Linked DNA regions of Callithrix jacchus. The protein of the gene in region 5 interacts with the protein of the main gene of each other region in a pairwise test. Links are inferred from orthologs where the notes say so. Each region holds a gene or a part of one and is shown on either strand. Other genes may lie near its edges.

The links.
Region 1: the proteins of BAG6 (region 5) and RNF126 interact in binary tests that used the Homo sapiens proteins (3 or more experiments, as listed by UniProt). The link is inferred for Callithrix jacchus from reciprocal best matches to the Homo sapiens genes BAG6 and RNF126.
Region 2: the proteins of BAG6 (region 5) and SPP1 interact in binary tests that used the Homo sapiens proteins (3 or more experiments, as listed by UniProt). The link is inferred for Callithrix jacchus from reciprocal best matches to the Homo sapiens genes BAG6 and SPP1.
Region 3: the proteins of BAG6 (region 5) and KLHL12 interact in binary tests that used the Homo sapiens proteins (3 or more experiments, as listed by UniProt). The two-hybrid records come from large-scale screens. The link is inferred for Callithrix jacchus from reciprocal best matches to the Homo sapiens genes BAG6 and KLHL12.
Region 4: the proteins of BAG6 (region 5) and CDKN1A interact in a two-hybrid assay, tested with the Homo sapiens proteins (2 studies listed by BioGRID and IntAct). The link is inferred for Callithrix jacchus from reciprocal best matches to the Homo sapiens genes BAG6 and CDKN1A.
Region 6: the proteins of BAG6 (region 5) and TAC1 interact in a two-hybrid assay, tested with the Homo sapiens proteins (2 studies listed by BioGRID and IntAct). The link is inferred for Callithrix jacchus from reciprocal best matches to the Homo sapiens genes BAG6 and TAC1.
Region 7: the proteins of BAG6 (region 5) and REG1B interact in a two-hybrid assay, tested with the Homo sapiens proteins (2 studies listed by BioGRID and IntAct). The link is inferred for Callithrix jacchus from reciprocal best matches to the Homo sapiens genes BAG6 and REG1B.

The regions. Positions count from the first base shown.
Region 1 is NC_133523.1:625,004-628,964, forward strand, and holds the start of RNF126 (E3 ubiquitin-protein ligase RNF126), read right to left. Parts: upstream 2,801-3,961; 5' UTR 2,708-2,800; coding exon 2,633-2,707; intron 1-2,632. UniProt on the Homo sapiens protein: E3 ubiquitin-protein ligase that mediates ubiquitination oF target proteins. Depending on the associated E2 ligase, mediates 'Lys-27'-, 'Lys-29'-, 'Lys-48'- and/or 'Lys-63'-linked polyubiquitination of substrates.
Region 2 is NC_133504.1:109,664,866-109,667,165, forward strand, and holds the end of SPP1 (osteopontin), read right to left. Parts: coding exon 2,109-2,300; intron 1,415-2,108; coding exon 1,010-1,414; 3' UTR 501-1,009; downstream 1-500. UniProt on the Homo sapiens protein: Major non-collagenous bone protein that binds tightly to hydroxyapatite. Appears to form an integral part of the mineralized matrix. Probably important to cell-matrix interaction.
Region 3 is NC_133520.1:29,968,763-29,972,944, forward strand, and holds the start of KLHL12 (kelch-like protein 12), read right to left. Parts: upstream 2,801-4,182; coding exon 2,627-2,800; intron 1,151-2,626; exon of another isoform or gene 591-1,150; coding exon of another isoform or gene 471-590; intron 1-470. Other genes in the region: transcription and mRNA export factor ENY2-like, read left to right, coding at 2,787-2,810. UniProt on the Homo sapiens protein: Substrate-specific adapter of a BCR (BTB-CUL3-RBX1) E3 ubiquitin ligase complex that acts as a negative regulator of Wnt signaling pathway and ER-Golgi transport.
Region 4 is NC_133505.1:44,980,705-44,984,975, forward strand, and holds the start of CDKN1A (cyclin-dependent kinase inhibitor 1), read left to right. Parts: upstream 1-1,471; 5' UTR 1,472-1,586; intron 1,587-1,726; exon of another isoform or gene 1,727-3,392; intron 3,393-4,271. UniProt on the Homo sapiens protein: Plays an important role in controlling cell cycle progression and DNA damage-induced G2 arrest. Involved in p53/TP53 mediated inhibition of cellular proliferation in response to DNA damage.
Region 5 is NC_133505.1:39,139,988-39,142,490, forward strand, and holds the end of BAG6 (large proline-rich protein BAG6), read right to left. Parts: intron 2,381-2,503; coding exon 2,234-2,380; intron 2,144-2,233; coding exon 2,084-2,143; intron 1,968-2,083; coding exon 1,824-1,967; intron 1,743-1,823; coding exon 1,635-1,742; intron 1,114-1,634; coding exon 967-1,113; intron 687-966; coding exon 591-686; 3' UTR 501-590; downstream 1-500. UniProt on the Homo sapiens protein: ATP-independent molecular chaperone preventing the aggregation of misfolded and hydrophobic patches-containing proteins.
Region 6 is NC_133512.1:51,899,510-51,903,587, reverse strand, and holds the start of TAC1 (protachykinin-1), read left to right. Parts: upstream 1-1,278; 5' UTR 1,279-1,550; intron 1,551-1,787; 5' UTR 1,788-1,796; coding exon 1,797-1,919; intron 1,920-2,893; coding exon 2,894-2,990; intron 2,991-3,458; coding exon 3,459-3,503; intron 3,504-4,078. UniProt on the Homo sapiens protein: Tachykinins are active peptides which excite neurons, evoke behavioral responses, are potent vasodilators and secretagogues, and contract (directly or indirectly) many smooth muscles.
Region 7 is NC_133515.1:34,054,084-34,058,104, reverse strand, and holds the start of REG1B (lithostathine-1-beta), read right to left. Parts: upstream 2,801-4,021; 5' UTR 2,766-2,800; intron 2,473-2,765; 5' UTR 2,427-2,472; coding exon 2,363-2,426; intron 1,748-2,362; coding exon 1,629-1,747; intron 1,325-1,628; coding exon 1,187-1,324; intron 467-1,186; coding exon 355-466; intron 148-354; coding exon 80-147; 3' UTR 1-79. UniProt on the Homo sapiens protein: Might act as an inhibitor of spontaneous calcium carbonate precipitation. May be associated with neuronal sprouting in brain, and with brain and pancreas regeneration.

The DNA.
Region 1 (3,961 bases), on a different chromosome or scaffold from region 5:
CCCAGCTGCCTGGGAGAAGCCACCACACACAGGCATTCAGCCCCGGCAGGCCTCCGGGTCAGAGGCCCGTAGGGGCTTCCTGACACCAGCCTAGGTGTTTCAGCAGCAGTGGCGCCACCTCAGACTCAGCCTCGGGGCAAGCTCACCACCGGCAGAGACGCCCATTTCGAGGGTGCTGGTGGTGGCTGGGGACTTTCCCCATCACCAGATTTGGAGCAGCCTTCCTGCCCCAGAACAGGTGCGCCCAACTCCCAGCACAGAAAATCCGTTTTTGTTTCTTTTTGAGACAGCGTCTTGCTCGTCACTCAGGCTGGAGTGCGGTGGCACCGTCACAGCTCCATGCGGCCTCCACCTCCCAGACTCAAGCGCTCCTCCCACCTCAGCCCCGACAGTGGCTGGGGCTCCAGGCGTGCAACAAGACACCCACCACTTGTTTTTATGTCTTGTAGGGACAGAGTCTTGCCCTGTACAATGAAGTCCTGACACCGCCACACTGTCTACTGGCACCATGTTACGTCCTGCTCCAAAGGCACGAGCAGGTGCCCTCGGGATCACTGCAGGGTGAAGACAGGCACTCCCCTCACCCACACACCCGCTCCCTGCACTTGTTTACCAACGTTCATGACCAAATATTTGTCAGCCGCGGTTCAATGCTGGCTCCCCGGCCAGCCTATAAATTCCGTGAGAGCCAAGACCAGGACTACCAGACACCACTGAGTTTCCATGACTAAAAGAAGGTCCTCCCCAGGCCCAGTGACAATCGGAAGAGGTCAGGGTCCTCCTTGTCCGAGGCCACAGGGCCAGGAAGTGGCTCCACCACACCAGGATCCAGCCCTGTGCAGGCTCCCAGAGCAGCCAAGTATCAACAGGTCAGGGCTAGCCACCTCCAACAGCCACAACTCCAGGCTTCCCAGGACCTGTCCCAGGGCTCACACAGCTGTCAGGGGCTGCCCTACAACTCACCCTGGCAGGCAGTCTGTCAGCCAACCAACCCCTTCTGCCACGGCCAGGGGGCACAGGAAACAGGAAGGGGCAGGAGTGAGAACCCTGAGAGGCACAGCAGCAAGACAAGGCTCAGCCTCAGCTCCCTAATCTTCGCCCCACACCCAGGATTTTACTTGATTTGTTCCTCCTGCTGGGGAGGGGAAGCCCTGTGGCTTCAGCAGAGAGGAAGCCACACCTCTCTACTCTCTCCACTCCTGGCCTGTGTCACTGCTCTCCCGTCATGCCCCAACTCTAGCACTGGTTCCTCCTCCGTGACCAAGAAAGCTGCTTCTCCTGACTCCCTCCAGCCCCTTCCGGGGTCTCTGCTCCCAAGGAACGCTACTGCTTCTGGAGGGCTTGGGCGCCTCTAATGGGTCAAACCGTAGCAACAGCCGGGTGGTAATGCACAGAGAGAGCACAGAAAATCCTCAACGCCTGCAGCCTCTTCCCGTGGGCACAGGGTAGGGAGTCCAGACACGGCTCCACCTCTTGCACCTGCTCCCCTCAAGTTGGCAGCTCCCGACTGAGCAGGCTCTGCCTTTTCTGCTGAGCCACCACGGACCTCAGTTTCCCCATCTGCAGGCGTGGCTCAAAGAAATCACCACTTTCCACATTAGCCTGAGAAAGGGAAACACTGGTCACAAATGCAGACCACCGCCGGGCACGGTGGCTCACACCTGTAATCCCAGCGCGTTGGGAGGCAGGGGGATCACTTGAGCCCAGGAGTTCAAGACCAGCCTGGGCCACACAGTGAGACCCTGTCCCTAAAAATAGTAATAGGAACGCCAACTGCCGAGCCCGTTCCAGACCTGCTGACTCCGAAACCCCGGAGAAGGGGCCTGGAAATAGCACGTTCCACGAGCACCGCTCCCACCTGCCCCCAAGGTGACATCAGGTCCGCGTGGGAAACATCGCCCTAAATAAGCAGGAAGTAACACTCGGAACACCCAGGCCCGGGGTCCCCTTGAGCCAAGGGTGGCTGTAAACACTTCGAGAAAGGGTGGGCTGCTCAACCCAGCCCCGGGAAGGGAAGAACGCAGGCTCGGGTCACAAAGCCCTGCCGGAGGGCCGCGGTCGGAGCCCGGGACGGTGCCTGGAGCCTTCCGGGCCTGGGCCTGACTCCCAGGCGGCGGCCAGGGCCCCACGAGGCGAGCCTAGGGCGCCCCGGACTGCGCGCTCGGCGGGGGTCCCCTGGCGTTATTCTCGGGGTCTGCGCCCCGCCAGGCCCGGCCCGTGGCCCGCACCGCGCCCCTGGGCAATACCCTCTGCTCGCCGGGCCTCACTTTCTCCGTTTTACAGAACCAGGCTCACGGGGTTCGGAGGAGCGTTCCCACCTGGGGTCCCCGCGGCCTCTCGGATCGAGAAGGCAGAGGATGTGGGATCACCCGACCCAGCTGCGCCGCCCCGGCCAGGCCCCGCCTCCCCCCTTCCGGGCCTCAGTTTCCCGCATGTGCAGGACGGGGTTCGCGCCCGCACCGCCCGGGCTCCCCGCGGATCCACCCTGGGCCGGCGCTGTCCCCACCCTCAGTTTCCCCGTCGTGGCCACCTCGCGCGAGGAGCGGGCACCGGCGACCTCCACCCCGGCCCGGGCCTTGCCTCAGGCCTGCGGCACAGACCCTACCGCCCGCCGCCCCGGCCCGGGCCTCACCGGCAGGCGCGGGACGATCTCCACGGAGCAGCAGTGGCAGAAGTACCGTCCGGGCTGCGGCGACGCCTCGGCCATGGCCGCCGCCGCCTACTCCGTGCCGCCCGCCCCCTGCGCGGCGCCCGCCGCCGGCCGTTTGCGGCTCCCTCGCCGGCCGACGCGCCCACGCACGCTCACGCACGGCACGCACGGCACGTGGGGCGGGACGCGGGCGCGGCGTAATGCTGCGCACTCGGCGGGCGGCGGGCGGGGCGACGGTGGCCGCTGAGAGACAAACTAGGCCCGGCCGATGGGCGGGGCTCCGAGCGGGGGCGGGGTTCTGGAGGGGCGGGGTTCTGGAGGGGCGGGGCCAAGCCCCGGCGGAAGAGACGAGGAGCGAAGCCCTCCTCGCCATTCAATCCTGCCAAGGCCCTCCTTTCCTTCGGAGCTTCCCTACCTTATCGTCCTCTCCCCTCACGGTACTGCAGACCCCTGTCCCCACTGCTCCCGGGGCTCTCCAGGCGCTCTCTCCGCTCCGGGCGTCTGCACCGGCCTAGTCCCCCTACCCCGCCCGGTGCCCCTCCCCCGACGCCCACGTGGCTTTCTTCCAGGCCTTTGCTCAAATGTCAGCTCACGGGGTCTTCTCTGCCGCCCTCCTGCCCCGCGGCACTGATTCCCACCCCGTGCACTGTAAGGCCAGCCGCGCGGCCAAGGGGTGTTCGCACCCGCAGTAGCGCCTGACACCCGGCAGGCGTTCCATCAGCGCTGCGAAACGCCTGCAGACCGGGGACTCGGCTACCGGCTGTGCCTCACCGGGACCCGGGGGTCAGACAGAGGCTGAGGTCTGTGGGGTGCGGCCTTGCTTTCCAAGATGTTTTATGCCCAGGCGCCTTTGGAGGGAGGAGGAGGCAGGAAACCTAACCCCGCTTCCAAAATTAAGCAGTAGAGGCCGGGCGCGGTGGCTCACGCCTGTCGGAGGCCGAGGTGGGCGGATCACTAGGTCATGAGTTCGAGACCAGGCTGGCCGATATGATGAAACCCTGTCTTTACTAAAAATACAAAAATTACCCGGGCGTGTCAGCGCTCACCCGTAATCCCAGCTACTCAGGAGCCCGAGGCAGGAGAATCGCTTGAACCCAGGAGGCGGAGGTGGCAGTGAGCTGAGATCCAGCCACTGCACTCCAGCCTGGGCAACAGAGCAAGCAAGACTCCCTCTCAAAAAAAAAAAAAAATTTTTTTTTTTTTTAGAAAGAAAATTAAGCAGTAGAAACAGTAGCATCACCCAGCGCAGGATGATTTCTGAGGTCAGCTCTGGCCCAATCGTGCATTTATTTTTTTATTCACTCAACATTC
Region 2 (2,300 bases), on a different chromosome or scaffold from region 5:
ATGCATAGTTTGTGCATGTTTTCTCCTGGCATTTTTGACAACATAGGTGAACCTAGAGGAGGTTAAGTTAAATAAGCCAAGCACCGAAGGACAAGTACTACATGACCTCACTCATATATGGAATCTGGAAAAGTTGACCTCATAGAAGTAGAGAGTAGAATAGTGATTACCAGCAGGAGAGAGAGTAGGAAGGTCGATGGGGGAGGTTAGTCAATGGGTACAAAGTTACAGTTAGCTAGGAGGAATAAATTCTGGTATTCTATTGCACAGTATGTTGATTAGAGTCAATAATAATGTATCATATACTTCAAAATAGCTAGAACATAGGATTGAATATTCTCATTACAAAGAAATGACAAGTGTTTGAGGTGATGGATATGATAATTACCCTTTGATAATTATACAGTGTATGTATGTATCAAAACATCAACACAGTACCCCATAAATATCTACAATTATTATGTATCAATTAAAACCAAAATAAAGCTTTAAAAATGTTACATAGGCAGTAAAAAATGTTATATTTTATTAATTGCTAGACAAGTGTGGGAAAACAAGTAAGCAATTGACACCGCCAAATTCTTATTACATTTGAGATGAAAGATTTATTCACACCACAAAAGAAAGATAATCACAACAAAATATACACTAATTTAAAAAATGAAAGATCATAATGACATAAAATGTTATTTTTTAAGTGTGTAAAAGTATTTTGTTTGCTTCTACATAAATTTCTATTCATAAAAGAATAACAAACATTAAAATACAGTGACAGTTTATATTTCTTCTATAGAATGAACATAGATATAACCCTGAAGCTTTTAGTTTACAGGGAGTTTCTATGACAAACTAAACTAATGATCAAACACATTAGTTATTTCCAGATTCACATAGATACACATTCACCCACTAAACTGAGAAATAAGCATTTCATATTCCCTTTCATTTTGCTATAAAGCATCTTTTCTTTCTACTAAAAGAAAAGTGAGAAATTGTATTTTTTCTTGTTTTAATTGACCTCAGAAGATGCACTATCTAATTCATGGGAAATGCGAAATTTCAGGTGTTTATCTTCTTCCGTACTTTTAGGATCTACAACGAGCAGATCTTCCTGGCTGTGAAATTCATGGCTGTGGAACTCACGGCTGACTTTGGAAACTTCCTGACTATCAATCACATCTGAATGCTCATTGCTCTCATCACTGGCTTTCCGCTTATGTAATCTGGACTGCTCGTGGCTGTGGGTTTCCGCACTTTGGTCATCCAGCTGACTCATTTCATGACTGTCCTTCCCATGGCTGTCCCAATCAGAAGGCACGTTCAGGCTCTGGGCAACAGGGATGGCCTTGTATGCACCATTCAACTCCTCGCTTTCCACGTGTGAGGTGATGTCCTCCTCGGTAGCATCAGGGTACTGAATCACAGCACAAATGAAGAAGAATTATATGAACAGCTAGGGATGGGAATATGGTAATCCTTTTCTGCTCTCTAACATTTAGGCCATCTTGTACTAAAAATTGTCTAAATCTTCCTGAAATAATATTAGCATGTTACTTTGTATAGTACTTTACCAAGCCCTTTCACATATGTTATCTCCTTTAGTTTAATAAGTACATCACTTACTTATGTAATGAAACCTATGAGATAGGTTTGATTATATCTGTTTCACATAAAGAGGAAGTGAATTGGAAGTTAAAAAGTAAAGAGAATAGTAAATGGCAAGTCTATGTCAAATCCAGATTCTCTGACTAAGGATTCAGTGTAATTTGCAACTCTACAATTCCTCTTAGTTATTTAACTTGAAAACATGACCATTATATTTTTAAAATAATTAGTGTTTTCCATTTTTTTAAATCTAAAAGTAAGTGATTCAGGATTTGAAAAAATAGAATTGTGTTTGGGAATCCAATCTAGAGAGGAATTATGTAGACTTACAAAAACCACCAAATAGAAAAAGATTTGTATTCATTGATCATGAAGTAGAATATGAATGAATTCTTGCTGAATGGATGAATGAATGGACAAATGAATGAATGAATATGCAAACTATGGTTTCCTAGACTTGAGCTCTAGTCAGAACCATCAGATATGTCTTTTAAAGGATTTACCTGGATGTCAGATCTGCGAAATTTCTTGGATTTTGATCTCAGTCCATAACCCACACTATCACCTCGGCCATCATATGTGTCTATTGTGGGGACAGGTGGAGTGAAAACTTCAGTTGCTGGCAGGTCCGTGGGAAAATCAGTGACCAGTTCATCGGATTCATCAGAATGGTGAGATTCATCAGACTGGTGAGA
Region 3 (4,182 bases), on a different chromosome or scaffold from region 5:
AATTAAAAACAGCAACAACAACAACAAAAAACCAATTGAGGACCCATTACCTACAATGAACTGTGGAAACCACCCAAGTGGACTTACTTGCTTAAGCTATTGAAGCTCTTCAACAAGAAGGTATTCCTACTCTACATCTGTAAATGTCAATTACTGTTAACGAATCAATATTGGAATCCAAAACTTTCTGAAATGATCCAAGGTTGGGAATCAAACGACGGTCTCTAAAAGTCCACAACTCACAATTTTTCAATAGGAAAAATGAGATCTTAAATTCTCATTTACTTATGTTTATAGTTGGCATTTTACACTACAAGCACCATAGATAATCCCTCCAACAACTCTGCAAGACCAATTTTACAGAAAAGCAGGTGATTCATCAAAGCATATGATGTTTTTCAAGAAGCCTTAAGTCAATTTAATTTCAACTCCAGGGGTGTAAAAAGGGTCCGAAACAAATGTCTATTTACCTTGATGACAATCTGGGAGGGAGGGGGGTTTGTCGTTTCCACATCAAAATGACAGTAACCCTGGTGCAAAGTGGTCTTCCTTCTTGGGGATTCCTGCCTCACCACTCCAAGTCTCAGCATATCCTTCACTCTCACCTTTCTGAAGTGACCTATTTTCTAGAACTTCCGTTAACATCTGAATAGAGGGATTCCACTTCGGGAGATTCGAGGCAGGGGAGGGGCAATACATTCGGGAAAGACTAAATTCTAGAGAAAGAAACGAAGTCCTTCCCCCTGACACCAGCAGGCATACATATGACCAGCACCGCCAGGTGGAGGTATGCGGAGAGATGAGAGGGCGACCGAGGCCAGACGCCCCACGCAGCCTTCCTCCTATCCAGGGCGAGCCTCCGATTCCCTTGCAGGGAGACCAAGGATGGGGGAAGGGCCATAACCCGGAGTTGATGGACAGGAAGGGAAAGACTGACTGCCATCACTTCCGCGCAACTCACCTCAGCTCCCGTGCCCACACAGCCGCGCCGGGCCTGTCCCCAGCCTGTGGGGATAGGGTGGGGCGCAGGGCCAGCAGGCGGCTCACAAGGAGCCGAAGCGCCGCCGCCGCCGCCCAGACCCGGAGGCTCCGGAGGCTCTGGAGCCTTCGGGTCTGGACCCCGCGGCCGCGCGACGTGATGACGCAATGCAGCGTGAGGACCGCCCTCCTCCCGCCGCAGAGTCCGCGTCACGTGATGAGGCGGTGTCACGTGACCTGCCTTATCGGGGGCGGGACTTCTGTAAACTGCTATGAAGCCGAATTAGAAAAAGGTCAGGTGGCCGGGGCGCGGTGGCTCACCCCTGTAATCCCGGCACTTTTGGGAGGCTGAGGCGAGCGGATTACCTGAGCTCAGGAGTTCCAGACCCGCCTGGGCAACACAGCAAAACCCCGTCTCCACCAAAAAATTTAAAAAAAAATTTAGTCCGGCGTGGTGGCCTGCGCCTGTAGTCCCAGCTACTCCGGAGGCTGAGGCAGGAGAATCCCTTGAACCCAGGCAGCAGAGGTTGCCGTGGGCCAGGATCGCCACTGTTATTCACGTCTAATAATACCGAAAATTAAATGCATTTAATATAGAGATTTTCCAAACAGGCTTTGTGTGGGCAACAAGGACATTTTATTTCTCGCTTGGGTGCAAGCGGACCGAATCTGAGAAAGGCGAAGAGAGTAAGGGTGGGAATTGGTTCTATAAGTTGGGGTAATTTTGGGGGGCGAGGGTGTTGCAGAGTAAGATCAGTTACAGTGGTCGGGGGTAGTGGCAAGGAGTATACATGACCACAAGTTCAGTTACAATGGCGGGTTGAGTAAGGCGGAAGAGCAGTTAAGATGGCAGGATGGGGCAAGGAGCATTCACATTATCATAAGAGCAGTTAAGATGGCAGGATGGGGTGAGAGGTATCCACATTTAACATAAGAACAGTTAAGATGGCAGGGTGGGGTGAGGGGCTTGTCCGGGGAAGCTCTGCTGGGCGATTAGGGACAATGGCCAACGCAGGCGGTGGGGTGGGAGACAATTAGCAGAGGCAGGCAGCAGGCAGGACTTCAGACGTTCTGGTTCCAGGCTTGCATATGGAGACCTGACAGCCACTGCACTCCAGCCTGGGCCACAGAATGAGACCCTGTCGGGGGCGGGGGGGGAGGCGGGGGGGGCGGGGGGAGGGCTGGCATAGTGGTCAGTCCTGTAATCCCAGAGGCCAAGGCAGGTGGATCACTGGAGGTCAGGAGTTCGAGACCAGCCTGGCCAACATGGTTAAACCCAGTTGCTACTAAAAATACAAAAACATTAGCCGGGCGTTCTGGTGTGCGAATGTAATCCCAACCACTCAGGAGGCTGAGGCAGCAGAACCACTGCACTCCAACCTGCGCGACAGAGTGAGACTCTCAAGAGAGAAAGAGAAAGAAAGAAAGGAAGGAGGGAGCGAGAGAGAGAAAGATAGAAGAAAGGAAAGATGGAAGGAAGGACGGACGGTTGGGTGGTGTGGGGTCCGCAGGAAGCCTGGGAATATAGCTCTACAGCTTGGCGATTGAATGAGCCTGAGACCCTCCCCACCGCTCAGGAGGCAGAGCAGACGGAGAGAATTCTAAGGCTTAATATGCTAAACATCTGAATGCAGGAAGTGCGTTTTACCTTCCAGGTACTGAGGAACTTTTTGCTATCGAGAAAACCCACGGAGGCCTCAAATTTCTTCCCTTCCATTGTCCACAATGACCTCTTGGGGCCGAACAACGCTGCGCAAGAATCCTCTGAGCCCTGCGATCCACAGACCTCGTATATACTTTGCGTCATAATGGGGCTTATCATCACCACTAAGGTGATTTTACTTCTTTCACTCCAAGACAATTAAGTGAAAGGAACTTGTGGCCACTACAAGGTGGACATTAAGAGGGAAATTGGAAAGAATCTTCTTAGGGAAATCTTAGACAGCCTTATCACCACTGTTACTCCCCTGCTGACATTTCACCAGGCTATGGTTGCTGAAGGTTAATTTAAGAAAGTTCGCTTCTAACTGATTTTGGTGCAGTTAGTGTCTGAAAAGGCAAAGAGGTTAATTGGTTCAACTTATCTGAATGTCTAGACAACAAATTGGTAATACTATTTTCTTCTGTGAGCCCCCTTTTTCTTTCTTTTTTTGAGATGGAGTCTCACTCTGTTGCCCAGGCTGGAATGCTGTGACATGATCTCAGCTCACTGCAACCTCTGCCTCCCGGGATCAAGCGATTCTCCGGCCTCAGCCCCGCCCCGCCAGGAACTGGGACTACAGGCACGCACTATCACGCCCAGCTAATTTTTGTATTTTTAGTAGAGACTGCGTTTTGCAATGTTGGCCAGGCTGCTCTTGAACTGCTGACCTCGTGATCCACCCTCCTCAGCCTCCCAAAGTGCTCGGATTACAGGGATGAGCCACAGCGCCCAGCCCTTTCATTCTTAAGGATACTAAAACCATAGCCAAGTGGGCAGCATTCTAAATTTACATTGCATCTCCATCTTCCATGTCGTGTTTTCCTTGTCTAAAACTGTCCCTGACTTCCACATTGTAGAGAAGAATGCAAGATTGTTATAAAATTTATTGGGGGCATTTTGGAAATATTTGTCAATTTTAATAAAATTATTCACATGCACATGTAAGACTACATATGTAAAAGATATGTACTACATATGTACAAACTGCAGCATTGTTTGTAGATTAGATTGACAACAACGTTAAATGTCCATTAGTAGGGGACCAATTCAATGAAATATAGTACATCCATAAAATCCAATACCATGAAGCTGTGAACAATCTGTATTCTCTATTATTGGGTAAAAAGGTGGAAGATCACGCCTGTAATCACGGCACTTTGGGAGGCTGAGGCGGGCGGATCACCTGAGGTCAGGAGTTTGAGACCAGCCTGACCGACATGGAGAAACCCCGTCTCTACTAAAAGTACAAAAGTAGCAGGGCATGGTGGCACACGCCTATAATCCCAGCTACTTGGGAGACTGAGGCAGGAGAATCGCTTGAACCCAGGAGGCAAAGGTTGTGGTGAGCCAAGATCATGCCATTGCACTCCATCCTGGGCAACAAGAGGGAAACTCATCCCCCCCACAAAAAATAAAACGTAGAAGATATATTCATATTTGCTTGTGTGTGTAAACTGTATTTGGAAAGACAAAATAAAGTGGTAACATTGGTTTCTTTGGGG
Region 4 (4,271 bases), about 5.8 Mb from region 5:
AAGCATTTACTCAATGTAGCTGAAAAGATCAGGAGGATGACATTAATAAATAAAAATCCATATATAATAAAAAATGATGTGCAAAGAATTATTTCATTGTGAAGCCCAATACTACAAAACTTTATAATTCATTACAAACCTTTATTAAAAAAAAAAAAAAAAAAAAGGCTTGGGGCATGCCTGGGCAGAGATTTCCAGACTGAGCAGCCTGAGATGTCAGTAATTGCAGCTGCTCCAAGCCTGGCTCCTATTTTTTAGTGGGATTTATTTTCAGATTAACAATCCATCCTCTGCAATTTTTCAAAGCAAAACTGCACATGTTTCAGGCACATAAAGGAGGCAAAGATGAAGTCCAAGGGAGGTCAGAGGTATGGGGTAGACGGGAGCAGATAGACACGTTACTCATTTCTGTGTCTGGCAGAAGCACCAGTAGACACTTCCAGAATTATCCTTTATTTATGTCATTTCCATAAACTGTCTGCAAATGAGGGTTATTGGGTATTTTTGTCATTCTGGAGCCACAGAAATAAAGGGTGACAAGCACAGAGCCTTGGGCAGGAGGCAAAAGTCCTGTGTTCCCACCATAGTCATTTCTTTGCTGCATAATCTGAGTCAGGTCACTAAACTCTTCTGAGCCTCAGTTTCCCCAGCAGTGTATATGGGCCCTGTGGGGAGTATTTAGGAGACAGACAACTCACTCATCAAATCCTCTGCTTCCTAGCCAACAAAGCTGCAATCACAGAGTTCTTCTGTTGAGGTGAGTGTACGGTGTACGGAGATTGGTTCAATGTCCAATTCCTCCTCGGTTTTCTGATAGTGTCTCCAATTCCCTCCTTCCCGGAAGCATGTGACAATCAACATCTTTGTATACTTAAGTTCAGTGGACCTTCAGTTGCCTCATCTGTGAAATAAAGGGGACTGAAAAATCATTCTGGCCTCAAGATGTTTTGTTGGGGTGTCTAGGTGCCTCAGGTGTGTCTGGGAGAGGTGACCTAATGAGGGATCAATGGGAATAGAGGTGGTATCGTGGGGCTTTTCTGGAAATTGCAGAGAGGCGCATCGTTTTTATTATTTATGGATTTTTATTTACGACTGTCATCCTCCTGATCTTTTCAGCTGCATTGGGTAAATCCTTGCCTGCCATAGTGGGTCAGCGGTGGGCCAGAAAGGGGGCTCATTCGAACAGCGCCCTCCTGGGGAGTGCCAAGTCATTCTCCAACTAAAAAAGGCCAAATTTGAGGCTCACTTTGTGGGAAAAATGTGTCCAGTGTACCGACGCACGTTAGAGACAACGGGAGGAGGGAAGCGCCCTCCTGCAGCACGCGAGGTTCCGGGACCGTCTGGGGCTGCTGGAACTCTGCCAGGCTCAGCTGGCTCGGCGCTGGGCAGCCAGGGCCCCGGGCCTGGGGGAGGGCCGTCCAGGGGCGGCGCGGTAGGACGAGCGCGGGTCCCGCCCCTCCTGGGGGTAGGTTATATTTGCGCCCGCAGAGCGGCACCAGTTGAGGTGTGAGCAGCTGCGGGAGTCAGTTCCTTGTGGGGTCAGAGCTGAGCGCGGATTCGCCGAGGCACCGAGGCACTCAGAGGAGGTGAGGGAGCGGCGGCAGCCAACAGGGGACCCCAGGCCGCCGGCCCAGAGCCGAGCCGAGCGAGCCTGCCTGTGTCCGTGGGTGTCGCGGGGATGCGTGTCCGCGGGTGTGCGCTGCGTTCACAGGTGTTTCTGAGGCAGGTGAATGACGGGCGTGGGTCTGTGCCTGCTCGGCTTCCGCATACGGTGTCTGTAAAGTGCTCGGGTGACGGGGATCGGGATGTGCCGGAGACTCCGGGCGGAGAGCGGGATTACAAGTACAGGGATCCCGGGCCACGCTCCCCGCCCCTAGAAACCCAGCTGGGGCGAGGGAGGGCGTAGACGGGGCCGCTCTGGGAGCTCGCCTTCCGCAGCGGTGGGCTCCAAGCCCCAGGTGCAGTTTGCTCCTGGCGTGGGAATGAAGTCCGTGTCCCTGGAGGGGTCCAGGAGGGGCGAGGAAAGCGGAGTGGAGTAAGTTCGTCTGGGATCGGTCCCGGGCGGTTTTCGGAACCAAGCGGCGCCGCCCTGGCTCACGTCCCGGGGTTCAGGTCCTCTACGCCACTGTGTCCACCACCTGGCTGGGCGCTGAGGTAAGTGCGAGCAGTTTCCTGGCCCTTGGGAATGTGCCAGGACACGTCCCCTAAGGACAAGCGAGGAGCTGACTCATTGTGACAAGGAGACCCCAGGGAACGGACTGTATAAGGTCAGAACTTCGCCCGGGCTGGGGTACAGTGGGAACCCAGAAGCCCCCTCCCTGTCCCTTCAGGTCTCGCCCTCCCATCAGCACAGTGACCAATTTGGCTGGCACAGCGTGTTCCCAGGGAAGCCGGGCACTGGAGGTCCAGGTCGCCGCGTCTGATCCCCGCTCCGCGGCGCGCCCTAGGGGCCGGGGAGTCAACGCCCTGCGCTGGGCGGGCTCTAACCAGCCTGTCAGTCGAGGAAGGGCAGGGGTCTTCTCTACCTCTTTACCACCGCGGCCGGGAGAACCACGGCCCAGCTTGTCCTCGAGTCGGGGCGCTGGACTCCCGGGCAAGAGCGGAGCCTACGCCTGAGTGGGAGGTGGGGAGAGATCCTGTCTTTGCGGCGTTGGTGGCGTTTCTGGGGGGCACGACACTGCTCAGGGCCTCCATCAGCTGCCGCGGGGGCTCGGGGTGCCCCGACCTAGCCCAGATTCCCTCTCCGAAAGCGACAAGACTGAGCGGAGCAGCGGGGTGAGCGCCGCCGCCGGGCGCGGACCACGGCACGTCCTCTCAGTCCGGAATCCCCGGGGGACACTTGCGCCCTCTTAGTGCAGAAAAACATCTAGGGGATGGGTTTGGAACTTGGGGCGCCTAGACAGCTTCCCGTCTCCTTCCCTCGCTCCACGTCGTGTTTTTGGGAGAACTTCCGAGAGATTTTGTTTTCGTTGCTCCCGTCTATTTTTATTTTCCAGGGATCTGACTCATCCCGTGCTTTGGGCGTGGAGATAAGGTGGAGGGGCCAGCTCTCGGCGCGCGCGCGCGTGTGTGTGTGTGTGTGTGCGCGCCCGCGCGCCCGTGTGTCTGTGTCAGAGACGGCGCAGGAGCGCGCGGTTTCGCAACAGCGGCGGGAGTTTTGGAAGCCTGGCCTGCCCAGCGTGACGTGTTCGCGGCCCTCCGGTCCCCTCCCATTCTCCCTCTCCCCACCCCAGTGTGACGCGCAGCCGGAGTGGAAGCGGAGTTTTGGCGGGGGCGGGCAGCGCCTTGCGGGAAACTGACTCATCGCTACTCCCCCGCTGTCCAATGCTCTGCCCACGTACCTCCCACCCCGCGCGTGATTTCCTGGAGGCCGGCGCCCCCTCCCGGCCCTGGTGAGAATGGCACACCCGCTTTCCCGCGGAGTGGGGCTGGCAGGCGGGAACCACCGCGGGTACTCCGGGCTCATCTGAGATCAACCCCTATGCCATTCACCGCTCCTTCAAAGGAACACTCCTTAGGTTCAACAGTATTTATTGAGCTCTTACTGGAAATTAAAGTATGACTGAAGTCTAAGGCAGGAAGGCCAACAAAGGAGGCTATTCTCAGTTATTTGTAGAACAAGGGTTTGCGTTTCTGAGTTTTCTTTGGGCTGAAAGTTATGACAATGCGCCTGAGAGCAGATTTAGATGGGGGAGGAGAGGCCTATGAGAGCCCTAAGGGAAGGGGTGGTAGAAGAGGAAAGGGTGCCTGCCTAGATCCTAGTCTTATCCTGAGCTCCTGAGAGCCAGGGAATATCCTTGATGGAGCCCTTCCTTGTGCCTCTGATGTATTGAGACCCAGAATGTCCATTTCAAACACACCAGTGTCCCCCTTGTCTGATACCCCAAGAGTGCCCATCTGAGGAACTGTGCTGAACACTTGCTTAAATCTTCAAACACCTACTTAAATCTTCAATCTGGATTAAGTTGGTCTCAAGAGGCAGGGCCTTGAAAAAGCTCCCTAAGTGATTTTTTTTTTTTTTTGAGACAGGGTCTCACTCTGTTACCCAGGCTGGAGTGCAATGGCACCATCCTAGACTCAAGCAATCTTCCTGTTTCAGCCTTTCAAGAAGCTGGGACCATAGTCGTGAGCCCCCATGCCCAGCTAATTTTTTTTTTTTTTTTTTGAGACAGAATCTCACTCTGTCACCCAGGCTGGAGTGCAGTGGCGTGATCTCAGCTCATTGCAACCTCCACCTCTTGGGTTCAAGCAATTCTCCTGCCTCAGCCTCC
Region 5 (2,503 bases):
GGACATCAGCTGTAGTATCTCAAAGGGACTAGCAAAGAATTTGCAGTCATGGGACTTTGGTCCTTTATGATGAACTAAGGGGAAGTCTCTGTTAAGGCCTCCGTGTTGGAGCACATTAATAAGAGGCTCTTTGAATTGTATAGACCAGTTCCAGCATTGTTAAACTGAGATTTCACATGGTAACACTGCATGCTAGTTATGCTAAGATTATATTTAGGTCTGCAGCTGCTCAGAAACTTTGCTGGATAATTTGAGAGCTCTACCCTAGTGTGCACCTAGCATATGCTCCCAACTAAAAGTACAGGTCTTTTGTTTAAAGTGCTTTTGCACAAAAATCTTAGTATCAAATGCTAGGTGCACAGAACGTAGTGTCTGTTATGCTCATGCGGAGATACTACAGGCTTTCTGGTACTCCAAGGGAGTATTAATTTGAAAAACAAGTTCACTCAAGATTAAGGGACTTACACTCTTAATCAGCAGGCGACTTAAGAGAGAAAGCAGCCAGAAAAACCCGACTTTTATTTCTTAAATACTGTGAAGGAAGAGGGGGGAAACGGTCTCCTGGTGAGAAAGGGCAACAGAGCAAAGAGCTAAGGATCATCAGCAAAGGCCCGGTGGGCATTGGGGAAGCGCTGGGGACTGTAGTTGGGGTCTTCCTGCAGTCGTTTTTGTATATCAGACCGGAGCTAGAGAAAAAAAGCAAGCAGGTTGGAGAAGCACTAGCCAAGTCCCTATGATCCCAGCAAGCATACAAGGCCATCCCTCAGAAGCTAACATTTCCCCCACCAAGCACACTGTCAAATAGCCCGGGGTGGCATCGCCAAGCCTTCCCAGATAGATGCCAAAGGGGAAAACAAGTGGTAGCCCCAGGCTGACCATTTCAAAACTGAAGGGATCCAGGGGAGAGGGACCCTAGCCCAACCCCTCCCACTAGACCATCCCTATTCTGCTTCAAGGTGGGGGCACCTGCTGCCTGTAGCTCTCCTGAACCTCTGGTGCCTCCAGGTCCCGGCTCAGGCTCTCGGGGCTCGTCAGGGGCCGAGCTCCGGCTGCCTTAGCTGCCCGGCTCACAGCCTCTGAGAGAAGCAGCTGGGGGCCCTCACCCTGCATTGTCTGGGGGATAGGGGTTGGGAGGGAAAAGAGGATCAACGTCAGATCCAGTGCCACCATCGGCTCACCCTTTCCATGAGTCAACCACTGAGTCTCCATGCTAGTGGAGAGAGGGGAAACATAGTCCAGGATGTGGTCTTTACAGCTGAAATGCCTTCCTAATTCTCTGGCTCTAGCCAAAACCGAAGTGAATGTGCTCTTCAAAACGAGAGGCAGAAGGGGTCAAGCCATATGGGATTCAGAGTTTAGGTAATCCACAAGAGGAAACCCACCTTAAAGGAAAATGGGATCTAGGCACATGAGGATTAGGCAGCTGAGGAACTAACAGGATGGCTAGCAAACACTAAGGTAAAGTCCTATATGGTTATCCAACAACCAAGAGCAAGTCCGAATCCCAGAAAAGTTGCCTCATTAAATGAGGGGAGACTGAGTAAGAAGCAGCTCCTACCAGCTCTAAATAGTCTGATTCCAGGCATGACAGGAAAACCTGGACAAAGAGAGGCTTGGGGAGGAGGAAAACAAACCTTGCGTCTCTTGGCAGGCATACCACTGAGGTAGGCATCACTCAGAGGGGGCTGCGGTTTCACCTTCCGCTGGCTCTGAATATCCTGCTGGATAATAGGGACCCATTCCTGGGGAGGAAAAGATTAGAAAGTAGTAGTGCCCATGACTTTCAGCTGCCATGACCCACTGGATCACTTCCTGACACTTACTGGGGGGACTGCAGCTGCCCAAGGTTCTGTCTCAGCTGAAGCTCCATCCTGTTCATCTCGGGAGCCCCCCTCAGGAGCAGGAGGTGGACCTCGGGACATGACCTCTTCTGCTGTTGTTCCAGGGGCTGGGGAAGCATTCTCCCGCTGGAAGGCAGGTGGCGGGAAGAGCCAGGCTTCAGAATTCTTAGCCTCCAAACCTTTCTCCCCCAGGCCTCCACTCCACATTATCTGGCCCCTCAATCACTCCCTCTGCCTAGTACCTGAGGCTCAGGGGAAGCTCTTTCTGCTCCCTGAACTTCCATTGGCTCCTCAGGAAGTGGCTGAGAAATTAAAGGAGAACAACATACTTCCTCTCAGATCTCTCCAGTTCTCTCAAGTCCCCTAACCCCATAGCCCATCAGGTCCCTTACCTGGGGGGGATCACCGACTCTGCGAACATATCTGAGAATGGCATCAGGGCCTACGGGCATGTGCTCCAGTACCACCTGAAGCCTCAGTCCCATCATAGTGGTCAGCCAGCTCACCAAGGAGGGATTCACCCCACGAGACATACGACGCTGAAGGGCAGAAAGCAGATTTAGAACACAAAACCCTCAACCACCTTTTGGAATACATCAGATCCAGAATACAGAATGTCAGTTTAGAAAAGAAAAATGACAACTGCAGAGAATGGAAACCTT
Region 6 (4,078 bases), on a different chromosome or scaffold from region 5:
TTCCATATAAAAAGTTTTGAAAATAAAAACTAAAATGCTCACATTGTGAGGCTAAGGCCTAAAGAAATGAGAAATGCATGAGAATTTCCAAATTCAGGGTTATTTAAGAAAGAACAACATATATCAGAGAATAAAGTTACTTGAGTTACAAAAATTTATTTTCTTTATGCAATTTACTAAAAAAATCATAATTGAAAAGTATAATACTTTACAAGTAAAGGGAAGAAAATAACGCCACCAAAGATGCCACATCATCTAATTCATTTAGAGATCAGTGTCTGCCAGGCACCCACAAGCTCATGGAAAGCTGTGGTTTCTGTACAAATGCTATTTGTCTAATAATTTCATGCTGTTAATGATGGCCCCGTTAGCATCTTCACTACTCTTACTTTCATAGAAAGGAGAAACATATGATTTGTAGAGCCCTTTAGTGACAAGAGTGAGGATCCTATACACTATATTGCTGGTTTCCTAGTCTTCATTAAGAAAGTGTAGGAGAGAAGCAGAAAAAAAAAAAAAATGTCCTGTTCCAGCCCCTGCTCCTGGATGTGGCAAGGAAGAAGACTTAGCCAGCTTGGAACGAAATAAATCATACCCACGATGCCATGTTTAAATTCCCCTTTCTCCAAAATGTAAAATCAATCTGCTTCCATCTTCTAGAATACTGTGAGACTAAACATCCTTTTGAAATGCGAAGGAAATTCACGTTGATTTGGGAGAGGGATGTTCTGGTCATAGAAAGATGCTGTGTCTCAGAAACACATATTCTTAACTAGCAATAGAGGGGAAAATAATGCCTCCCCTATCTCCCCTCCACTGAAGTCCTTTCCTAGCCTGATTTTTAAGAAATGTCTTAATGCCTACAGTTATCTGGCCACCCTCAAAAGTGCAACTTATCCTGACGTCTAAAGGGACGGAAAAGTTACGGAAGTCCAAGGAATGAGTCACTTTGCTCAAACTTGATGAGTAATCTCAGGTGTCTTGAAACCAGTTCGGAAGGAAAGGGGAGGGGGTATCAGATCTGCAGACGGAAGCAGGCCGCTCTGGATTGGATGGCGAGACCTCGATTTTCCTAAAATTGCGTCATTTAGAACCCAATTGGGTCCAGATGTTATGGGCATCGACGAGTTACTGTCTCGGAAACTCTCAATCACGCAAGCAAAAGGAGAGGAGGCGGCTAATTAAATATTGAGCAGAAAGTCGCGTGGGGAGAGTGTCACGTGGGTCTGGAGGCTCGAGGAGCCTGGGATAAATACCGCAAGGCACTGAGCAGGCAAAAGAGCGCGCTTGGACCTCCTCCTTTCCGGCTGCAGCCACCTAGAGTGCGGAGCGACCAGCGTGCGCTCGGAGGAACCCTGAGTCCCGCGGGACTGTCCGTTGTAGTAAGTGCCCGCGCTGTGCCGGCCACGGTTGCCGGGCTCACCCCGCCGCACATCTGTCCGAGGTGGCCGCTCTGGGTGCGCGCTGCTGCGAGGGGCAGTGGGGAGACTGGCTTCCCAAACGCCAACGCCCCTCTTTGTCTTCCACCTGCAGAGCCTCCCGGTTTGAAGGTGTGGGTTGGTGGGTTTGGGGGCTGGGGGAGTTGGGTTTCAGGGAGAAGAAGGTTGGAGAATCTTTGGGGCACGATTATCTTGCCTAACGGGTACAGGCGAGACTTTAGTCCTTATGCTTTTGATCTTGGCTCATCCGTTGTGGGGCAGAAAATTCTGCTGCCCTAAGTCTCGGATAACCACCCCTAATATATACATTTTTTCTCTCTTTGGTCTCTTCACCCTACCCCTTCCCAGATATCCAACATGAGAATCCTCGTGGCCTTGGCAGTCTTTTTTCTCGTCTCCACTCAGCTGTTTGCAGAAGAAATAGGAGCCAATGATGATCTGAATTACTGGTCCGACTGGTCCGACAGCGACCAGATCAAGGTGAGGCCCCTTCCTAGGACGGCCCACAGCCTTCTCCTTGAGCTCCGGAGCTGTCACCTTCCCACGCAACAGTACCCTAGTTAGCCTGGCAGGCCCCGCAACCGCGATGAGAGGCAACGGATGCGTGCGGGAGGATGGAAAGGGGCGCTATTTGCCGGGTTCCTCGTGGGGTTTTGCGCCCACGATTCAAGTTTCTTCCCGAGGGCTGCACCATCCGGCCCAGAAACTCCCTGAAGCAGGGATGCCTTCCCGGATGAGCCCGAGATCCTCACTAGGCAGGAAATCTCATGAGGTTTCAACCCCTAGGAAAGGGGATTTCGGGGGCTTAGGTCCAACTGCGCTGCCCTGGGCAAGGGAAGAGGAGGGCGCCTTGGTCGCGGGCAGCAGCGGGCACACGCGCGAGCTGCAGGGGCATTGGAGGGCCGGAGGCGGGAGGGAAGTTAATTTCCTGCCTTCGCATTTGTTTTGCGAACCTGAGGACGTAGCTTCAAGTTTCCGTTTAGAAACTTGTAGCTACTGGCGCTGGGGAGCGCGCCTCGGGAAAACTGTGAAAGACGTCTGTAAAGCGTCATCACCCTTCCCCACCGCAGCCCCAACCACAGATCACACACACCTGTGTGCATTTAGGGCGCTTAGGACTCTCCAAAGCCGGCACCGACACAAGACGGAGTCGGTGGCTGCGCGGCAAATGAGCGCAGGACCCCAGGCTGGGAGGAAAGAGCGGAAAGCGCTCGAGGCTTGAAGACGCAGCGCCAGCTGCTAATTCGGCCTGGCAGGCTTGGGGGAGCAGGACGCGAGTTCGGAGAGGAGGGGCACAGAGAGGGAGCGCCTCGGGAGGGACCCCGCTCAGCCCGAGCGTGGGGAAGGCTGCCTCCCCCCGCCTCGGGGCCGGAGTACCGCGGGAAGGGCTCGGTTTGCTGGGCGCCTCGCTCCGGTTGCCTTACACGCCCTTTGTCCGTGCTTCTGTCCCCCAGGAGGAACTGCCGGAGCCCTTTGAGCATATTCTGCAGAGAATCGCCCGGAGACCCAAGCCTCAGCAGTTCTTTGGATTAATGGGCAAACGGGATGCTGGTGAGATGGGCGACCGTCCCTAGATCTCTTAGGCAGCCCGCCCTGTCTGCTCACTCCTTCCCGGGGTACCCTAGGGTCTCTCTCTCTGAGTAGAGACTTCCACCCCAAGAGTGGTGTAATTCCCCAGGCGCGACACTGGCCCGCACCGCGCCAAGGCACGCACGGGCCCGCGGAGGGAGGGAAGGATCTGGTTCGCAAGCCTCACTCTATTCGAGGGAGGGAAGGATCTGGTTCGCAAGCCTCACTCTATTCGAGTGAAGCGCTCCCTTGACTAAAGATCCAAACTGACAAAGGGAAGGCACGGACCTCCGGGAGACAGTACTGCGAATGATCCAATGCATGTGGAACAGGATTTTATAGCATTCTCTGAGGTGAGGGTAGATTTGTCTTGGGATAGAAATATTGTTTCCTTGAATTCATCGCACCATCAGTGGAACATGTAGTTAATGACAATTCGTCTCTTGTCAGATTCCTCAATTGAAAAACAAGTGGCCCTGTTAAAGGCTCTTTATGGTAAACATTCCTATAAATCTTTATTTTACTATTGTGAAAGCACATGTAGGAAAGTGAAATAAAATATTGTGTGGGCTGAAATACAGGATCTGGATCATGCCTGTTTAATAAAGAGATGGATTTGCATACCCTCTCTCTCTGTCTCTCTCCCTCTCTCTCTCTTCCCCGCTCCTCTCTCCCTCCCCCTCCCTCTCCCTCTCCCTTTCCCTCTTTCTCCTTTTCACTCTCTCTCTCCCTTTCCCTGTCTCTCCCTTTCCCTCTCCCCTCTTCTCCCTCCCTCCTCTCTCTCTCTCTCTTTCTCTCTCTCCCTCTGAATGGGTGCTCAGCCTTGAAGGTGGGAGCTGTTACAGTCTTACAGTTAATAAGAGGCCTCAAAAGTCTCATAGTCCTATGTTGAATCCCATAGAGGGCACTTAATAAAATTCCATTCGTTTGTTTAAATATTTAGTTTTTATGATTAATAATTTGTTTAGCATTTACGATTCTGCTTTATTCCTCAGGATAACAGAAAATGTTACATATTTTGAGAATCAAATTATTTTATAAAAGATATAATGTAGCATCTTTAAAAACAA
Region 7 (4,021 bases), on a different chromosome or scaffold from region 5:
GGAGAAAGAGTCTTGTTTATTTTTGACACCATAGTAATTGCAGGACCACCAGTTCTAGACGTCCATTTTTTAGATGTCTCTAGTTTTTGAATTTGCAAACAAAGGAGAACTTCTTCTCACAAGATTCATCCTTCCATTTCTTGAATCCTACAGTACAATTAGAAGAGTCAGAATGAGAAGATCAGAAGGAGGGTAGCCCCTCTTCGACCTAGGACTCAGAACAAGAAACAAGAGGAAACATTCCCTTATTTTCTGGATGGAAATAAATTTTTCCTCTATCCCAGTCCCCATGTTCAACTGCAGAGATAAGTGGGAGGGAAATGGCAACAAGGGGATAGACTCTCTGCCTCTTACCTGAACGTGAAGTCAGGCTTGCACAGTAGCCAGCATTAGCGCTGCTTGGGGCTCCAGTTTCCCAGGATTTGTAAGAGACCAGGGACCCACTGCTCCAGTGCCAGCGGCGGTTCTAGATTGAGAAGGGCCAGAAAAGGGACCATGGTCACTGGAAAATCAATAGAACAACCAGGCCTCTCTGCACACTCAGAAACAGGCCAAAGTACAGGGGAAAGAATGAACATTATTATCACTATGAATACCATATTATTCCATTTGCTTTTGCTTTAAGTTTCTCTTTCTCTGGAATGTCCAAATTCCTCCTCCTCTTCCAGCAAACAATAAGTGTCCAGAGTTTGATACACAGACTCATAAAAGTCCCAGAGAGTAGTTCCTGATTTTTCCCCGAAGCTCAGAACTGTCATATCCAGCATAAAATTGGCTGTACAGTAGCTGTTGATATATTATTTACTTTAACAGTATAGTTCCAAATGTCAGCAATAGATTCTCTTCCACTACTCTTTCTCTGTGGTAGTTTTCAGAGGGGTCTCTTCCAAGAAAGACAATAGCAAAGTAGGGAAAAAGTTGTACATAAAGATGCATTTCTAGAAGTAGACAGAGTGAGTTTGTGCATGAATTCCCATGAGCCCAGAAAGTTCAACTTTCGACTCATGTCTCTAACTATCTACACTGAACCTCACAACTCATACATTATAGGAGCTATAAAGACGTTCCTTTTATTAAAACAAACAAACAAAATAGATACAAGTTGGCGCTCGTGGTGCCAGACCTTAAATATCCCTCTTACCTCTCAAAAATGTTTATAAGGAGACAGAGGAGACTGCAGACTGACCTTTTTGGGGTCATGAAGGCCAATCCAGACACTGTTGTCATCAGTGCTACTCTCCTTAATCAGTGAGGCCACGAAGGCACCTTCCGCCTGGGTGAGCACAGACACCAGGTTGCCTGAATGCATGTTCTGGCAGTAGAGCTGGAGAAGAAAATGTAGCACTCAGTGGAGGAGGAAGGTATGAAGGATGTACTGAGACCTCCCAGAGGTTGTAACAGAAAAGGACATCACAGAAACGTCCCTGATGATGCTGTCACTGACCACCAGCATCTCTGTGCTGGAAATGTGTCAAATGATGGGCTAAAGTAGATTGGGGAAGTTTTGGACCAGTGGTGGAATAGGGAAGGGATCAGTCTTATCTCATTGCAGCCACTGAACGCACTGTAAACTAGCAGCTGCCTCTACCTTCATGAGCCTCCCTTCCCACACTGCTCTCCTCACTTACATCTGCATCGACCCAGGTCTCAAGGTCTTCATTAAAGTAGTAGCAGTAGGACCCATAGGCATTGGTGCCTTCTGGGCAGCTGATTCGGGCTTTAGGCAGCTCTGTCTGGGCCTCCTGGCCTGCGGGGGGAAAAAGTGTCAATTAAAGACTCTCAGCTCAAGGAAAGGCTGAAAGGTGAATTAAGAGCTTCTGAAGTTCATTTATAAGAATATACTGATACAGTGTATCCTGGGGTGACTGCTCACTTCTGCCCTCCTGCATCTTATCTCTTTTCGCTCTAGTTTCCTTTGCTCAAGAGAAGAGCACACAATAAATAGGTTAAATAAATATTTCCTTGTTTTCTTTTTTATTTCTGAGGCTCAGGCTTCTGCCTTTAAAGACTCAGGCTTTCACCTCTCTCAAGTTTCTCTTGGTTTCCCTGCATGCAATATTTACCTTAGCTCTCCATCCTATCAATATCTACATAAAAACATCCCCCAAACTGCCATCACATATATATTCAATCAGATGAACTCAACCACAAGGGTCACCTGTAAGTGATCCTATCAAATTCTGTCTCAGACACATGAATGAAATGAGGGTGTTTTTGAATGGGATGAGATCAGCGATAACGATCACTGGACAACAGAAACAACCCCTGATGCTGACACTGCTATTTTTCAAGTGAACCCATATGCATGAGGATGGAAGGCAGACTTCAGGGCTGGTATGAGAGGTGTGAGGGAAAATCTCACCTTGGCTCAGAGACAGGATCATCAGGCAGGAGATCAGCATGAAGCATGTGTTGGTCTGAGCCATGCTGAGCAGCAGTGAGTCTCTTGCTTAAGGACCAAATCAGCAATCTCTATAGGAGAACACAGGGAAGAGAGTTTGAAGAAGAAAGCAGAGCACCTATTATCTTTCTAACACCCTCTCCTCTCTGAATTCCTGAGAGTAGGAAGGTCCTCTGAGATAGCTACAGTCACAGTTATTTCTCTTTTGGTTTGGGGATTATACAGGCCAAATTACCCAAGATCAGCTTTGGGTAATTTGCTTAAGCTTCATTACTACTGGGATACAGAAAATCACCCTGTATCTACCTCAAAATGGAAACAGAAAAACCCATATTACACATGCCCTTCTCTAATGACCGCTTACCTATTGGTAAGTGTCTTGTCTACTTGAGGTGGCTTGTCAGGCCAGGCAGTGTAGGAGCTTTATATCAGGATCTGAGAGAGAACCCCGTGATATTAACTATGGGTGGAGCAAGGAGTAAGGGTCAGAAGGCCTACAGAGGGCACTTATGGTAAGAGATTCTGGCATCAGGAATAGCTTATTTCTGGCATACACTAGGAGTAGTCACAAGTGACATCAGCTTACCATAAAGAGGTTGGCAAACTGTCCAGGTTGATGTCAGGCTTTGTTTGCCCTTCCTCCATAGCATCCAGGTGTCCAGTTCCCATGGCCTTTAGTAGTCCTAGAAAGAACAGAAGAGTAGATTTCTTTGTGCTGTATAAATATGGGATCCTTTTTTTTTTTTTTTGGTTTTAGACATGGGTAAGGATAGGGGAAGAGTCAACCGAGTCCAAATGATTAAGCCCAATTAGCTGGTGGCTTTAAGTCATTTCTCCATTCATTTTCAGGCTCAGGAATCTCTCAAGACCTCCTTCAGAAGATAAGGTATATTAGTCCATTTTCACACTGCTATAAAGATACTACCAGAGACTGGGTAACTCAAAAAGAAAAGAGGTTTAATTGACTCACAGATTTTGCTGAGGTTTGGGAGGCCTCAGGAGACTTATAATCATCGATGTGAAAGGGAAGTAAAGCAGGTCTTACATGGCAGCAGATGAGCAAGAGAGAGTGAATGGGGAAGAGCCCCTTATAAAACTATCAGATCTTGTGAGAACACACTCACTAGCATGAGAACAGCATGGGGGAAACTACCTCCATGATCCAATAGCCTCTCACTAGGTTCCTTCCTCCACACATGGGGATTATAAGGATTATAATTTGAAATGAGATTTGGGTGGGGACACAGAACCACACCATATTACAATGGTTAGTAGTTACATAAATTTAAACCAGCATTTCCAGCAAGGTTTGAGCATGACTAACTAGCATGATACCAATGTTCTCAAAGTCCAAGCAGGTGGGAACTGCAGGGAGCTGATACCTAAGTAAGTTCAAAGCAGTGGAATATAAAGTTGTTGCTTTGAAGTCAACTCTCTGTTGTTGTGAAGTTACAGCAGGTGATGTAGAATTAAATGCTTACCGAAATTCCCATTAAATATCCATTCAGATTCAGGGAATAAGAGCAAATCTGGAATTAAAAATTCAGTTGAAAAACTAACCAAAATGTTCACAGAAACAGAGATGGTTATATCAATTGGGATAAATGGCTAAATAACATA